Saccharomyces cerevisiae S288C: one gene and its partners. The gene in region 1 interacts genetically with each later gene. Each region holds a gene or a part of one and is shown in the gene's direction. Other genes may lie near its edges.

Region 1 (6,065 bases):
AAAGGAGTATTTTTCTTTTTCCCTTTTGTTGCACAACAGCGGGTTTTATGACACAATGACGTATCATCTGTATATCCTAAGTCAAAAAGAAAGAAGAAAGTAAAAAATGTAACGCGAGATAATCCCGTGAGAATCCAGAAGCTCGAGGCTACATGAAAATCTCCCGGAAAGAAGAAAATTTTCAAAACCTTAATTAATAAGGTTTTTTTGCGTAAAAAAGGTTCGATCGCAGGCTGAAAACAAGCCGCAAGTTAATTATAATCACCTTGGGCCAAACCGTAGGAAAGTTACCAGGTGAATTTAAATCGGCTTGAAATCCTTTCGGAGTATGATTCCAAGGTTGGGAAGGAACAGTGCCTCGATTCTTGAAAATGGAACCATACTACTTATTAAACTTCTCGCAATAAATGAGCAAAAGTGCTTCATCATGGCTGCACTTCTAAAATATGAAACCCTCTTACCTGTAATCACTAAAGAACTGGCTATTAAAAACAGAATTTTTTACAAAAAAGAAAGAGGCTTTTCGTAAGGTTTTCCCCTACTTTATTCTTACTACGCGCTGGGCTGGGTTGAAAGTGCCTAAATTCTAGTGTTTTGAAAGTCACCTAATACTGGTGATTTATCTTTTGTTGTGCAGCACTGCATGTGCGAATGGTCCATGATGAGAAAGGCACAAAGACTCGAGCTCATCATTTCCTGGTATTTTTAGTGGGGATCTATCAATAAAGGCGGCTTGTCAACTTGACACACACAATAAAAGACCTCATTTAATTTTGTTAAAAGAACATTATCTGTTAAACACGCTGTGTTACTGACATTGTTTCATAAGTAATAAAAGATCTGACTATTATCTTATCCATACCAGTGTTCTGTTTGACAAGTAGCTGCAACCGGAAGTTATTCCTTCTCCACTGCAAAGATCGTTTAATTGTCCCATCCTGCGCGATCACGTAACATGCTATGAACGTCGGGAAATTTTTCACTTGTGAAGTCTTAGAATGTGTAATCATGTAACTGAGGTTTCTGACGACTAGTAGCATATTTGAACTCTATTAGGATTAACACGAAGTTCTAATGATTTTTCTTTCTCGGAGTTAAAAGGAAACCCGAACGTTTGTTGCCTCTAGATTTTTTCCATATATTTTCCATATGTTCACTTTTAGCAATCGCCTTTGCTTGTCTGATTTAGTTGAAAACAACAGCATTTGATATTCATGAAAGTCTATTAAAGGAAGAAAGTAAAGAAACTTTCTTCGCCTGTTTTCTTCCTAGAATACTGTTATACCAATAGAAATTGAAGGTTTGGGAGAACTTTTGAGAAACTTTTTTAAATTTCAAGACCTGTGCTTTGAACGTGTCTCATTTCTGCGTACAATGCCAAAGTTGGAAGGTTTTCTTGCGTATGGTTCTAGTTCTTTGCCAAATTATTGATTTCAATCACGCTTTAAAGTTTTTTCTGGGTTTTCTCCACATAGGATAGTGACAAGAAGTGCGGTAGCCATGTGGTTTATTGCAGATCACAGTATGAAGGACCTTCAACTTACCTTATTTACTTATTAACAGGAAATTAAGCGTCATAAAAAACTACAGCGGTGATAGGAGCTGTGAAAGGATCCATATTGCTATCGTGAGTGAAAACGAAGACAACCTGAAAATAAGTATTTTTCCGCCGTTCTTCAACGATGTATTTAGATATCAGTCGATATTAACGTATAGGAGGAGGATCGATTATCGTGAAGATAGAAAATAATGACCGAAGAAGATTCCCTGGTAGCGCACACTTCAAACTAAGGGTTGGTCTCCGGTAAATATCAAGATTTGTACATTTGGCTAAGTGCTGGAACCCATGCAATTGATCTTATTGTGATGATTTGATGATATTCCTCCGTCAGAAAGTCCTAGAACACAACCTCTGGATGAAAACAGAAAAGAAAAATATGCAAGATGTTCAAGTGCGCGCGGAGCAAAAAAAAAAAGGAACAGAATACTAAAAGAATACGTCGCGAATCTCGTTATTGACAAGGCATGTTTGGATGAAAACATGTAATGCCCCATTCAGCTTATTTTTCAACATTTTCAGAGTAACACGCAGAAGAAGACTTTGTTTTTCCAAAACCTCCTTTTGCACTCAAAAAGAATGCCAGTTCAGCATGGCATATTGGAGATTATTTTTCATAAAACTGTAAGAATTGTAAAGCAAAACTGGTGCACTGCTACATCAACTCTTATCTTCTTGCATATAAATTTAAATGAAAAGGAACTACTTTGTAATTATCGATATTACATTGAAACCTATGAGGAAGATTATGACATGATAACACTAAACTATTGCTGGCCAGCACCCGAACCGAGTGTCCAAATTGAGTTTTGAATCAGTTTTCAGCTCAGAACAGATTCCCCTTTTCCTTTATTAGGTCGTATCATCATTCTATGTGCAACTACTGCAGCATTTGCGTATAATTATGGAAATAAAATTATACGAAAGTTGATACTTGGTTGTAAATGGCCTAAGAATCGGAAAAAATGGAATTCTATTGGCATGCTATCTTGTTTAATGAGATTATGAAGTTGAATATCATTTCTGCGTTTTGCATTCAAACAATATCATTTCAAAGGCCTATCGCTGTGAGCAATACGCTGGATTTGCTCATCGCACAGTAAGCCTGCACTACCCCACCAAATTACAAGAATATAGTAGAGATCAGAAGCTTATGAGAAGTCACTTCCAAAATTCGCGTTGTCCAACATCCTTGGAATAATTTTTCCTCCTTATGCATCCAGGTGATTGACACTTTTTGACGGGATAAATGCAGGTGGAGGTGGGGGAGGGGTAAAGTTTCGTAAAGAGTGTCAGGTCGCATATCTTTGCACTGCGCAGAAATTCTCGCAGAAAATTACGCTACGGAGAAATTCTCGGGCACTAATATCGTACAAAAATTAGGTTTGTTACGTGATAATATGGCCTTGTACCTGTTAAGTTTTTCCGACAATTAGTTACTAGCTGAATATCTTAAAAAAAGGTAAAAGTAACTCCTCCATGGTTTGGTTATTCATGCGTAAACACCTTGGATGCTCTGAGATATAAAATCAGAATGTACTACGAAGTACTGGAACTCAATTGTACATTATGTTACTGCAATAAGTAAATTCACCTAAAAAGCCAAAAAGTGATAATGTCAAATAATAAGGCTGGCGGTGAATATGAAGTCATCACTATTGGTGATGCAAAAAAGCTTCAAGCAACAATTTCAGAGCTTGGCGCTACTTTGCTTGACTTGAAAGTGAACAACGAATCGATTGTTCTAGGATACCCTGATATTCATGGCTATATATCAGATGGCTACAACTACATTGGTGCTACTGTTGGCCGTTATGCAAATCGTATTTACAAGGGCATGTTCAGTATGGAAGATGGACCTCATCAGTTGACAGTGAACAATTGTGGAAACACCAACCACAGTAGCATCAGCTCCTTCCATCTCAAGAAGTATAAGGCATCCAAAGTCCAAAATCCTCTTGATGACCTTTACATTGTTGAATTTACGTTATTGGATGACCGCACACTGCCCAATGAATTTCCGGGAGATCTAGCTGTAAACTTAAAGTACACATTGAACGTTGCTGACATGACCTTGGACTTGGAATACGAGGCAAAACTGGTCAGCGGTGAGGCTACTCCCATCAACATGACGAATCACACGTACTTCAATTTAAACAAAACTATGGATAAAAAATCCATTAGCGGTACGGAGGTTAGGCTCTGCTCAGATAAATCATTGGAAGTAAGCGAAGGAGCACTAATTCCAACCGGTAAAATCGTTCAAAGAAAAATTGCTACTTTTGACTCCTCCAAACCTACCATTCTGCAGGATGATGGCCCGATTTATGACTACGCTTTCATTGTTGATGAAAATAAGAATTTGAAAACGACAGACTCAGTAAGTGTAAACAAGCTCGTCCCTGCCTTCAAGGCTTATCATCCGGCATCACGACTTTCATTGGAGGTTTCAACAACAGAACCAACTGTCCTATTTTACACAGGTGACAACTTGTGTGATGGATTTACGCCGAGATCTGGCTTTGCCGTTGAACAAGGCAGATATGTTGACGCAATCAACCGTGATGGATGGAGAGACTGCGTTCTTTTGAGACGTGGTGAGGTATATACTTCTAAGACTCGATATCGTTTTGCGGTGTAGGCACCAAATTTAGTTGTTTACTTTGCACTGTCGCATTATTTTTCTATAAATTGAGCTTTTTATAATGAGATATGATCCGGAAACAGCTTTCTGAAGTGCATATGTTATAGTTAATATTAAGAATTTTTTGAGACTTTATTATGTTACCATGATTGCATTATCTTTTAATGTTAACAGTAACAAGTTTACGTATCGCTTTAAAACATAATTACATTCAGAGGTCGGAATTTAGAGCCAATAAAATTTTTAGAGCATATGTTGACGGTTTTAAATTACTCCCAACTGCGCAACAACACCTTATTTTCTTTTTGCCATATTTTAATATTTATTAGCATTTGGGAAATATTTAAAAAAAGAAAAAAATCAGCTTTTTATATATTTCTTTTAATTTAGTAAACCTCATTCTCTTTTCCTACATAAGTAATAAAACGTTGACCACTCTATTTTTAAAGGTACATTCAAATCTTCACAATGACAGATTTCTTTGAGCTCGTTAATGAATATATCGGCAATATCCGGTTTCGAGGGATTATCTCTAGCCCAAGAAGTGTATATGCTCCAGCTTTTCACAAACTCTTTAAATTGATTGAGAGTAATAGCTGCTCTCCAGAGAAACTGACTGTTTTCAGCCGTTACTGTTGATGCATTTGGGTCCGAAGGACTGTAAATTGTGACTTCAATATCTCCAAATCGATCTGACAATAAAGAACGTAGCTTTTCACCACCGTAATTCAACAAAATTTCCCGTTGGTTGTCGTTCAGATATTTACCCATATAATCCTTGCTCCATCCATATTTGTAATATACATTCAAGGCTTCGGGAAAGTCCACAAATTCCGGCTGAATATAAAACCAGAATGCAAAAGTTCCATCACTTCGTAATATAGAGGAAACCTGCTGAAACAGCCTTTCTAAATTGCACCAATGGATGGCTTCTGCTGAAATAACCATATCTACACTTTCTGGTCGAATGCTGGATAAATCTTCACCAGGCGCATTAATAAATCTAATCTTTTTATCTAATCTACGTTCATTTGTTTCTTTCTCAGCAATCGAAAGCATAGCAGAAGAAGGATCAATCCCAATCACTTCCTTAAAATAGGGTTCAACGACAAAAGTTGCTTTTCCTGTGCCACATCCAATATCAACCAAACTTTTGCGTGTGCCTTTGTGAAATTTCATTATCTCATTGACTAAAGATAAAGGGTAAGAGGGACGTACGTTATTATAGTGAGCAGATTCAAAATTTTTGTTTAAATAACTAGTTTTAGGCATTCTGGATTCTTCCATTGACAGAAGACTGGCTTTGAAGATGTACTGAGTGTAAAAGGGTTAACTTGAATTTGCCCCTTTAGTTCGTGCCGTTTGTTTATGTTTATATACGTTCCCTTGGGGCCGCTAATTAGAATGCTAAATATAGATCGTGGAAAACTTTCACTACAAAGCTTCTCGTTGTTGTGTTGGCTGAACATATACTAATGAACTGTTTAAATCAGGATTATGGACCGGTGAGGGAACATAATCATCTCTTCATGCCTGAACCTGTATGCCACGATGATGGAAGGCATACCATTATTCATACTGTACTTGCACCTCTTCTGAACTACGCTAGAATTTATTCTTCAGAAAATACCAGGGATATCCTTATAGATTTTTTTTTTTTGGCATAATCAACTCTCTTGGGTATCTTGCCGCATTCATTTTACATGTAAAGTCCAGCGAGATACCTTGGCAACTAAATTACAAGCAGTCTCTATGAAATTCAATAATGTGCCAAGTTGTTAGGTCAACAATTTCAAAAAGCGTAAGAAGCCGCACAATGGCTTGCATAAGCTATAATAATAATAGTAATCCAATATTTCTTAT
Region 2 (3,991 bases), on another chromosome or scaffold:
GGTGACAATACCTTCGTCGGTAGGGCTGCCGCCTTAGTGGGGCAGGCTTCCGGTGTAGAGGGCCATTTCACTGAAGTATTGAATGGAATTGGTATTATCTTACTTGTTCTAGTTATCGCTACTTTGTTGTTGGTCTGGACCGCATGTTTCTATAGAACGGTCGGTATTGTAAGCATTTTGAGATATACTTTGGGTATAACCATCATTGGTGTCCCAGTCGGTTTGCCAGCAGTTGTTACCACGACCATGGCTGTCGGTGCAGCTTACTTGGCTAAGAAGCAAGCCATTGTTCAAAAGTTATCTGCTATTGAATCCCTTGCTGGTGTTGAGATTTTATGTTCTGACAAGACTGGTACTTTAACCAAAAACAAGTTATCTTTACACGAACCCTACACTGTCGAAGGCGTTTCTCCGGACGACTTGATGTTGACCGCTTGTTTAGCTGCCTCTAGAAAGAAGAAAGGTTTGGATGCTATTGATAAGGCTTTTTTGAAGTCATTGATTGAGTATCCAAAAGCTAAAGACGCCCTGACCAAGTACAAAGTTTTGGAATTCCATCCGTTCGACCCTGTCTCAAAAAAGGTTACCGCTGTTGTAGAATCCCCAGAAGGTGAAAGAATTGTTTGTGTCAAGGGAGCCCCATTGTTTGTCTTGAAGACTGTTGAAGAAGATCACCCAATTCCGGAAGATGTGCATGAAAACTACGAAAATAAGGTTGCTGAACTAGCTTCTAGAGGTTTCCGTGCTTTAGGTGTTGCTAGAAAGAGAGGGGAAGGTCACTGGGAAATCTTGGGTGTTATGCCATGTATGGACCCCCCTAGAGATGACACCGCTCAAACAATCAATGAGGCCAGAAACCTTGGTTTGAGAATCAAGATGTTAACCGGTGACGCTGTTGGTATCGCGAAAGAAACGTGTAGGCAATTAGGACTTGGTACAAACATTTATAACGCAGAAAGGTTAGGTCTGGGAGGTGGAGGTGATATGCCTGGTTCAGAGTTGGCTGATTTTGTTGAAAATGCCGATGGTTTCGCAGAAGTTTTCCCACAGCATAAATACAGAGTCGTTGAAATCTTGCAAAACAGAGGTTACTTGGTTGCTATGACTGGTGATGGTGTTAACGATGCCCCATCTTTGAAGAAGGCTGATACTGGTATTGCTGTCGAAGGTGCTACCGATGCTGCCAGATCAGCCGCTGATATTGTTTTCTTGGCCCCTGGTCTCTCTGCTATTATTGATGCCTTAAAGACTTCTAGACAGATTTTCCACAGAATGTACTCCTATGTTGTTTATCGTATTGCCCTATCCTTACATTTGGAGATTTTCCTGGGTTTATGGATTGCTATTTTAAACAACTCTTTGGATATCAATTTGATCGTTTTTATTGCTATTTTCGCAGACGTTGCCACTTTAACTATTGCTTATGACAATGCTCCTTATGCTCCTGAACCTGTGAAATGGAACCTACCAAGATTATGGGGTATGTCTATTATTTTGGGCATAGTTTTAGCTATAGGTTCTTGGATTACTTTAACCACCATGTTCTTGCCTAATGGTGGTATTATCCAAAATTTTGGTGCCATGAATGGTGTCATGTTCCTGCAGATTTCACTAACTGAAAATTGGTTAATTTTTGTCACTAGAGCTGCTGGCCCATTCTGGTCTTCCATTCCATCGTGGCAGTTAGCCGGTGCCGTTTTCGCCGTTGATATTATTGCTACCATGTTTACCTTATTTGGCTGGTGGTCTGAAAACTGGACTGATATTGTGTCAGTCGTTCGTGTCTGGATTTGGTCCATTGGTATTTTTTGTGTATTGGGAGGATTTTACTATATTATGTCCACGTCTCAAGCCTTTGATAGGTTGATGAATGGTAAGTCATTAAAGGAAAAGAAGTCTACAAGAAGTGTCGAAGATTTCATGGCTGCTATGCAAAGAGTTTCTACTCAACACGAAAAAAGCAGTTAGTAATTTTAAACATCATCCATCTGATTTTTTTTCTTATTGATCTCCTTTTTGTTATTCCTCATTTTCATTTCAATTTGTCGATACCAAGGAAGCCAAGACGTTATAAAAGAACACGGTCAACAAAAATCAAATTAATGCCTCTTCAATTGTGCTCTGTTTGATACCTTCGATATGATGTTACAGTTTTAAAGTTTACACACAAGTTTTTAGACTAAGTGGCATCATATCTGTCAATTTTATCACACACACACACACACACACACACAAACAAACATATCCACATATCAGAAGTAGGCCGATCTTTTGCTTGATTGGATGCAAATTCATATGGAAAATTTTTTTCATATTATTTCGTGTTCTTTTGACTATTTTCCTCTCCAAAAAGGAAGAATCATTCCAATAACAACACACGAATTCCCATCCAACATGGTGAAATGACTAAATATTTTTTTTTTCGAAACATTAAATCAATCTAATTCTTAATTTTTAATAAACATATAATGCACACTTATTTACATACAAGCACATTGCACGTATTATATCAGTTTCTTCTTTTATGTTGATATATTTTTCTAATAATGTTATTATCATGTAGTCGTGTATGTGCGCCTCTCCCGCGAGAAGTCCAACACCATAAGAAATCAAATGTCAAGAGAAATAAAGAATTGTTTCCCATCATAGATAAGACTATATCAGAAAAGTGCTCATCAAAGCTAAATCTATTATGAGATGTCTTAGGCATAACAAAAAAGGGAGAGCGGTGCAAGATAAACATACCGTCGGATAAAAAGTACTGTCATTATCATCAGTGGCAAGATGCAAGGTACACACGGGCACCAAGAGATAATGCGCAAAATAAACCGGGTTTTATTTACATCTATACATACAGTAACCTCTTTGAATCATACATATCTGAAAAGACGGTAGATTTAAAATGGCTATTTATTGATGAGTCAATAGTTCGGACTAATGGTAAAAAGAAGAGACAATGGGTAGACAGAGACTTTATTCTATGTAAGATAGGAATGACCACTCGAAAAACAGTAGATTCAAGACTTTTAGAATGGCAAACCACATGCAAGCATCCAGTGATAAACTTGACTCCAGAGAAAGTCGATAAATTATACCACTTGAAATTGAAAAGTGAAAGCAAAAATATCAGTTCAAACAGGCTATTGCCCATTTCATTATCAAGCTTACAAAAAAAAATGGAGAAACTTTTCATCAAAGATAAAAGTCACTCACACAAGCCTTCCCTTCCAGATCCTAAGGTGCCAACCCTACGCACTTATAAAGATGGTGGATTTTTCATTAGCGGAAAAGGTTCAATGAAACTACCAGATATCGAAAGCGCTATTCATAAATTTTTATGGAAGAAATACGGGAAAGGATTGGTTTACTGTTATGGGTGTGATCCAACTGGAAAAAAGAGGCATACAGAGTGGTTCAATGTGCCTGTATTGGAGCTACCATCAGTACTAAGACTTATTGATTCTTATTGCCTTGGAGGAGAATCTCGTTAGACTTAAAAAAAATTTTTTGGCCTATTCTGGCCGGTTTATTCAAATTATTTATCATCATAAAAATTGTAGTGTTACCTTTCTTTTCCTTGAATTATTTATAGAAATATATGTGCTTAGCAATTTTATCACTGTTACTTCGATTTGTAGTACCCTTAAGTAAAAGAGCTTTTGAAACCAGTTATCAAAAGAATATCACCAATTGATCTTTTGCTTTCGAGAATTGTATCACCATATCTTCCCTCAAGTAGACAGTGGACGAGATGTTTCGAGATACTCGGGGAAAGTCTCTTCCAATGTGCTTCACTTTCAAAACTGGGTAAATATGCAATCAGCGTTTTTACATTCAAATTACTATCTTTCAATTTAAGCTCTGAGGTTATTCCATCGTGGAAAGAGTTTATACCACATTTCGATGTAATAAAATGTGTTCCTGATTTGCACGGTTTTAACGTCAATACCGATGATATGTTGACAATATAGAACCCCTTTGCTTTTTCTTG
Region 3 (6,914 bases), on another chromosome or scaffold:
TGTCTAGAAAATCCGCATTTAGGTTCTGATGGGCTTCCTTTCATGAATAGCATCACAGGTGCAGCTTGTACTAGCTTCACCAGCCTAGCATTTATTTCTTCTTCAGTTTCGTCCTCTTCATCATCGGAAGACCCGCTGCTTTCCTCATCAGACGTAGATTTAGGACCCTTGGCATTGTTCGCTAGTGAGGCAGAAGCATTCGAAAGAATTTCTAAGCTTTTCACAAACTCCTTAGGATCTGCGGCTGATATTTCTTTTACAATAGTACCATTTTGAATGAAGACGAAGTATGGTACGGCTGCAATCTCAAAAAGGTCTGATATTTCTGGATGTTCGTCTGCATCTATTGATAAAAACCGGACATCCTCTTGCCTAACTTTTTCACTAACAGCTTCTAGCACCTGGCTCATAGTTTTGCAAGGATCAGCCCATTGAGCTTTAAAATATAAGACAATGAGTTTATTAGCAGCGTTTGTAGTGGTTAGTTGCGTAAATTGGTCCTGGCTTTTTATTTCAACCACAGTCATATTTATTGGAGGAAGAGCACAGAAATTTAGTTATATGTAAGTGGAAAAATGAAATATGCTCAGTACCCAAAGACAACAATGTTACCGGGAAAACGAATCAACGTTCCTGGCAGTAACAGATTAAAAAATGGTTCAACTGGTACAGTATTAATATGCTATTTAAGCTAAATATCAACCAGTCTTCAGATATGGTAACTTTTTCTAGGACATCTGTGAATACGTCGCGAGGCTTCACCAATTAAAACGCGCGCTCTTACTAAAATTTCACGAATATAATGCTTATTGGCTGAAATTTTCAGACCCTTTTGCCAAGTTTGTAAAAAGTATTCCAAACAACTTCAATTTTGGTGTTGGTGGAAAGTTCCGGCCTCCTCCTTAGTGACTCTTTAATAAACCAATCTGCTACATCTTCTTTATCTTTGTTCTTTGGATCCTGCTTCCACTGATGGTAAGCGCTCCAGGTTCTGACATAATCTGCAAACTCCACTAGGGTGACCTGCTTTCTGATTAGCAATGGCTTCTTTGTATGCTGGTGGAGTTTTACTTTGTCTCTCACATCTTCTGCACAAAAATATGAAACTTGTATATCATGGAAAAGTTCTGGGTCTAAGTGAGAGTCTTTCAGCATATTACGAAGGCGAGATCTCCCCGGTTGTTCCCAATAGGGTCCCAGTCCTTGCTTCCCGTAAGGAACTTCAATCATCAGATCATCAAATTCAGGGTAGTCCGGGAAAATTGGGTCCGCATAACCCCAAATAGCGATAGTACCATCTTTTCTCAAATTGGCATAAGCAGATCGCTGAAATTTTTCGAAATCGAACCAATGAGCACATTCTACTGCGGTAATCATATCAATTTTCTGTTTGTCTACTGAATCCGCGCCTAGGAATTTAAAATCATCACTTGAAGAAATCTTAAATGAAACGTTTTTGTATGTATCAGGACTTCCTTCCTTTATTACTTCTGCAGTCTTAATCATGGTAGCGGAGAGATCGCTTCCGATAATTTGTTCGAATGGTTTTAACTCCTGAGCCATTTGTAAAGTGGCAGTACCTGGTCCACAGCCAACATCTACGAGTAATTTCCTTTCTCCGTCGTGGTATTCATCAATCATCTTGTAAAAATCGGAGGGATAAGAAGGTCTTGAAGATGAATATCTTTCTGAGTTGAAATCAGAAGCAGAAAAGGTAGACATTATTATCACTTATTTTGTTATCTTGTTAGGAGATAATTCTCATAACAACTAATAAAGACTGCTACAACGAAAACATACTAAATTAGTTACATTCCTTTTCCTTTAAAAATGAAAATAAGGAAGATAAACTTTCGGAAAACCAGAAAAAAAAAGGATATTACTGTGAGTCATGAACATCAACACATAAGGTGTGATTCATTTATAGTAAACAACGGCAGAATTGCACCTAATTTTTCTGATTAGATAGGTTGATGGAACACCCTTTTTATTGGTCATTTAACAATGCATGAGACTACATAAAACATTTATCTGTTTTAGTCAAAACAAACGTGGTTGTAGAAATATTCTGCAAGAAAATTCGCGGATGATATTTGAGAATAAAATACTCATAATGATATTGAGGCAGGGTATATTTTTTAATATTAGCGTGAGCACCAAGATCAGTTTCTAAACATTAGCAAATTATTCTAGGTGGTATAAGACAGGCTAAAAATCTATAATTGAAATGTCAGCATCTTAAAATAAAACAGGAATTAATTTCTAAATACGCAATTGATCCAAGTGTTATGTCAATATGACTTACTGAGAACATACTCTGGCGGGCTTTACTTCCCGATCTCACATGTTGCCTTCAAGAAGCACAAAAAATTTGCAGCCCAAACACTGTCAGACACGGGAATCGATCTAACATCGTAAAATTTCAGCTGCTTCGATAAATTGGTACCCAAATATTGGAGAGACCTTTCACCACACCGACTTGAAATAGTAAACTCAAGCGCAATGATGAAAATTGGGTTGCAATGTATATTTGATATCACAAATACCAAAATTAGCCGCTTTTTTGGTACGCACTTATAATCGAAGAAATTGATTCTTTTTTAGATTTTTAACAAATGAGGTTATATGAGAATGAAGCAGGTCATAACAAGCGGAACCAAAGCTTACTCAAACAAGTTATCATTTCCAACTAAATCCTACTTGAACTGCACCTCTTAAAAGAAAGATAGAAATTCTATACAAGCGCTCTCACTCAATAAGAATTGTAAAATGAACATGACAGTGATGTGTCACACCTCGATCGGCAACGTGAATTGGTTACCGTCTATTTAGTAATCAGTACAGAGATATTGAAGATGCCGCTATTTTTTTTTTTTTATATTTCCGCCGTATTTTATTCCTGTGTAGTCGGGTAATGGATGCTATTTGTATGCGATTTTAGAGTCTTAAAATGCTCAAGAGTGATGTATAATGTAAGTTCATCATTTGAAGAATTCGAACAAAGTTGTGACAATATAAGGAGTTCCGCAGACTAAGAAGTACTACACGATGGATTTTCAGTGCAGAACGTGTAGCCAGGCTTATGATGCTGAGCAGATGATGAAGCATCTCTCAAGTACGAGGCATAAAACTGTATTCGACACTTCAAATGATGAAGATATTTGCTGTGAGGAATGTCAAGATAAAAATATACACCAACTTCAAATCATCAGGTTTGGGGGTGAAGACATGGTTTTACTTTGTAATTCGTGTTTTCGGAAAGAATATTCAGAAACGGAGCGTCCATCAACTAGCTACTCATTACAAAACGGCTCTATATTGAAATTTTGGGAAAAGTACGTGAAAGTCAGGGAATGTTGTTGTGATGAGTGTGGGGAAGAGTCTAACTTGAATGCAAATAGAAATGGAGAAGTATTATGTGACAAGTGCTTGCCCAAATCGAATAGAGCTAAAGACTTTGTTTCTGAAAAAAGTGGAAGATTCCTATACATCTACTTGGGACTGAATGAAACACAGAATAGCACTAGAAAGCCTAGAAAAAAGGGCGGCAGAAGAGTTGGTAGAGGAAAGAAGGGCAGGAAGGGTGCTAAGATTAAGAAGGAGAAAAAGGAAACTTTCGAGGCCAAAATAAGTAGAATCGCTTATGAAGTCAAGAAAGAAAATAGTACCATTCAAAGCTCTAGTAGTTCCAATCTAAGAAACTTCAAAGGTTTCAAAGCGGTGGAAAGCGATCCAGTAGTTGCAGCAAAAGTAAGCAAATCAGAGACTAGTAGAAGTAATCCTGGCCCATCAAATCGAAACAAAGGGAAAGGAAATAAGGCAAACCACAAAAAGAATAGTGGAAATGGGATAGGAAAAGAGAAAGAGAGGAAAACAAACATTAGAAATAATGTCCGTAACAGCCAACCTATACCAGAGGACAGAAAAAATACCAATAGCCACGTTACAACAAACTCTGGAGGGAAAGGCAAGAACGAATCAGTGGATAAGCACCAATTACCGCAACCAAAAGCTTTGAATGGAAACGGGTCGGGCAGTACTAATACTACTGGTTTGAAAAAAGGGAAAAAAGACCATGCTGGCCAGAAGACTAAGGGCAATGATAAAACGGGTAATAAGAATCCGCGAGAGGCCAAACTAAATTCAGCTGGCAGAAAGAATGCACTTGGCAAAAAATCAAATAACCAGCCAAATAAGGGAACTAGCAGGTGGACAATTGGATCTGATACTGAATCTTCTAGAGAACCTAGTATTAGCCCAAACGAGAACACAACTTCAATTACTAAATCGCGAAACCGCAATAAGAAGGCTAGCAAGCCGACGCTGAATGAAAAATCAAAAACAACAACGATGCCAAAAAAGTTGGAGACAAAAAATCAAGAGAAAAATAATGGAAAAACTAAGGACGGGAAACTTATTTACGAAGAAGGTGAACCACTCACAAGGTATAATACCTTTAAGTCAACCTTATCATACCCCGATTTGAACACATACCTAAATGATTACTCATTTGCCCTTTTTTTGGAACAGAAATTAGAGAACGAATTTGTTCAAAACTTCAACATACTATGGCCTCGCAATGAAAAAGATACAGCTTTTATAATCAACGTTGAGAAGAATAATAATTCAGAACTTGAGAAATTACTACCTGCAAATTTGCTTGCACTCGGTAGACCGGCATTTAATGAAAGGCAACCATTTTTCTTTTGTACTCAGGATGAACAAAAAGTTTGGTATATTTTTATCAAAGAACTTTCTATTCAAAGGGGTAAATACGTGTTGTTAGTGGAGCTTTTTTCGTGGAATAATTTGAGTTTGCCAACGAAAAATGGTTCATCTCAATTTAAGCTATTGCCAACTTCTGCGCAGACAAGTAGAATTCTATTTGCCATGACGCGTATTACAAACCCAAAATTTATTGACCTATTACTAGGCCAAAAGCCTATTAAAGAGATTTATTTTGATAACAGGCTAAAATTTTCCAGTGACAAGTTGAACCGATCTCAGAAGACTGCAGTGGAACATGTTCTAAACAACAGTATCACAATTCTACAAGGCCCACCTGGTACAGGTAAAACATCAACAATAGAGGAGATAATCATCCAAGTAATTGAAAGATTTCACGCATTCCCAATATTGTGTGTTGCCGCGTCAAATATTGCTATTGATAACATTGCCGAGAAGATTATGGAGAATAGACCGCAGATAAAGATCTTAAGAATTTTGTCAAAGAAGAAAGAACAACAGTATAGTGATGACCACCCATTGGGCGAAATTTGTCTCCACAATATTGTATACAAAAATCTTTCCCCAGACATGCAAGTCGTGGCAAACAAAACCCGCAGGGGCGAAATGATCTCCAAATCAGAGGACACGAAGTTTTATAAAGAGAAAAACCGTGTCACCAACAAGGTCGTATCTCAATCGCAAATAATTTTCACGACAAACATTGCTGCAGGTGGTCGTGAATTGAAGGTTATAAAAGAATGTCCCGTGGTAATAATGGATGAGGCTACACAATCATCAGAGGCTTCAACACTAGTCCCACTTTCGTTACCAGGTATAAGAAATTTTGTCTTCGTTGGGGACGAAAAGCAATTGTCAAGTTTCAGCAACATCCCTCAACTGGAAACCTCACTATTCGAAAGAGTCCTATCTAATGGCACGTACAAAAACCCACTAATGCTGGATACGCAGTACAGAATGCACCCAAAAATTAGCGAATTCCCCATTAAGAAAATATACAATGGTGAATTGAAGGACGGTGTCACGGACGAACAAAAGGCATGGCCTGGCGTGCAGCATCCGTTGTTTTTTTATCAGTGCGATTTGGGGCCCGAGAGCAGAGTGAGAAGCACGCAAAGAGACATAGTCGGGTTTACGTACGAAAACAAACACGAATGTGTAGAAATCGTGAAGATTATCCAAATACTAATGTTGGACAAGAAGGTTCCGCTGGAAGAAATTGGTGTCATAACGCCCTATTCTGCACAGCGTGATCTGCTGTCTGACATCTTGACCAAAAACGTAGTTATCAACCCCAAACAGATTTCTATGCAACAAGAATACGATGAAATTGAGCTATTTAACGCGGCTGGTTCTCAAGGAACCGCCGGCAGTCTACAAAACAATGTGATTAACATCATCAACGGCCTACACGTCGCGACCGTAGACTCCTTTCAAGGCCACGAAAAATCTTTCATCATATTTTCATGTGTCAGAAATAACACCGAAAACAAAATCGGCTTTTTACGTGACAAAAGAAGGTTAAACGTGGCATTGACAAGAGCCAAGCACGGACTAATTGTGGTGGGCAACAAGAATGTCTTAAGAAAAGGAGACCCCCTATGGAAAGACTACATTACCTACCTCGAGGAACAAGAGGTCATATTCACTGATCTCACAGCTTACTAGCCGGCTAGGCGGCGGCAAGAAAATCCACTGTTTATGTATTGATTGCGCAATGCAGAGATAGATAGATATAGATAGATAATGGACGTAGTTATAGAACAGAAAATCGGTAGATCGAAAACACAGGGGAAAAAGGGGGGGGGGGGGGGGAGACAGCGCAGCCACGTGACGGGCTTCCTCTTTGGAAAGTGGAGCGAAGTTTTGCGGAAGCTACTTTATTCCGGCCTGGAGTCAAAAGAGGAAGCTCGGTGGCAAATAGCTTCCTCTTTGTGGCCGGGGCGCGGGGGGACGAGGCAAAAAGCAAAGAAAAGCAAAAAAAATAAAAAAAAAAACAAAAAAACAGGGGTATGAGAAAAAGACACGCTTTTCCACGCGCAGCAAAAAGGAAAAAGGAAAAGGAAACTCTTTATTATTGGACCTTAAACCTGAAAACGAGACGAACCGTAACATAAAACCGTGTAGTTTCTGCAAAAATAACTTAGTTTTTCCTACTTTTCAAAATT

The links. Genes that interact genetically often act in the same process or in processes that back each other up.
Region 2: mutations in YHR210C (region 1) and YPL034W together harm fitness more than expected from each alone (negative genetic interaction), as found in Saccharomyces cerevisiae (one large-scale study listed by BioGRID).
Region 3: mutations in YHR210C (region 1) and ECM32 together harm fitness more than expected from each alone (negative genetic interaction), as found in Saccharomyces cerevisiae (one large-scale study listed by BioGRID).

Annotation. Positions count from the first base shown.
Region 1 is NC_001140.6:518,846-524,910, reverse strand, and holds YHR210C (aldose 1-epimerase superfamily protein), read left to right. Parts: upstream 1-3,173; coding exon 3,174-4,199; downstream 4,200-6,065. Other genes in the region: CRG1 (S-adenosylmethionine-dependent methyltransferase), read right to left, coding at 4,599-5,474.
Region 2 is NC_001148.4:483,719-487,709, forward strand, and holds YPL034W (uncharacterized protein), read left to right. Parts: upstream 1-2,993; coding exon 2,994-3,491; downstream 3,492-3,991. Other genes in the region: H(+)-exporting P2-type ATPase PMA2, read left to right, coding at 1-1,968; SRL4 (Srl4p), read right to left, coding at 3,644-3,991.
Region 3 is NC_001137.3:538,642-545,555, forward strand, and holds ECM32 (RNA helicase), read left to right. Parts: upstream 1-3,048; coding exon 3,049-6,414; downstream 6,415-6,914. Other genes in the region: monothiol glutaredoxin GRX4, read right to left, coding at 1-527; TMT1 (trans-aconitate 3-methyltransferase), read right to left, coding at 823-1,722; YER175W-A (uncharacterized protein), read left to right, coding at 2,009-2,173. UniProt on the Saccharomyces cerevisiae protein: Probable RNA helicase, which may be involved in modulation of the translation termination process. Probably unwinds double-stranded RNA.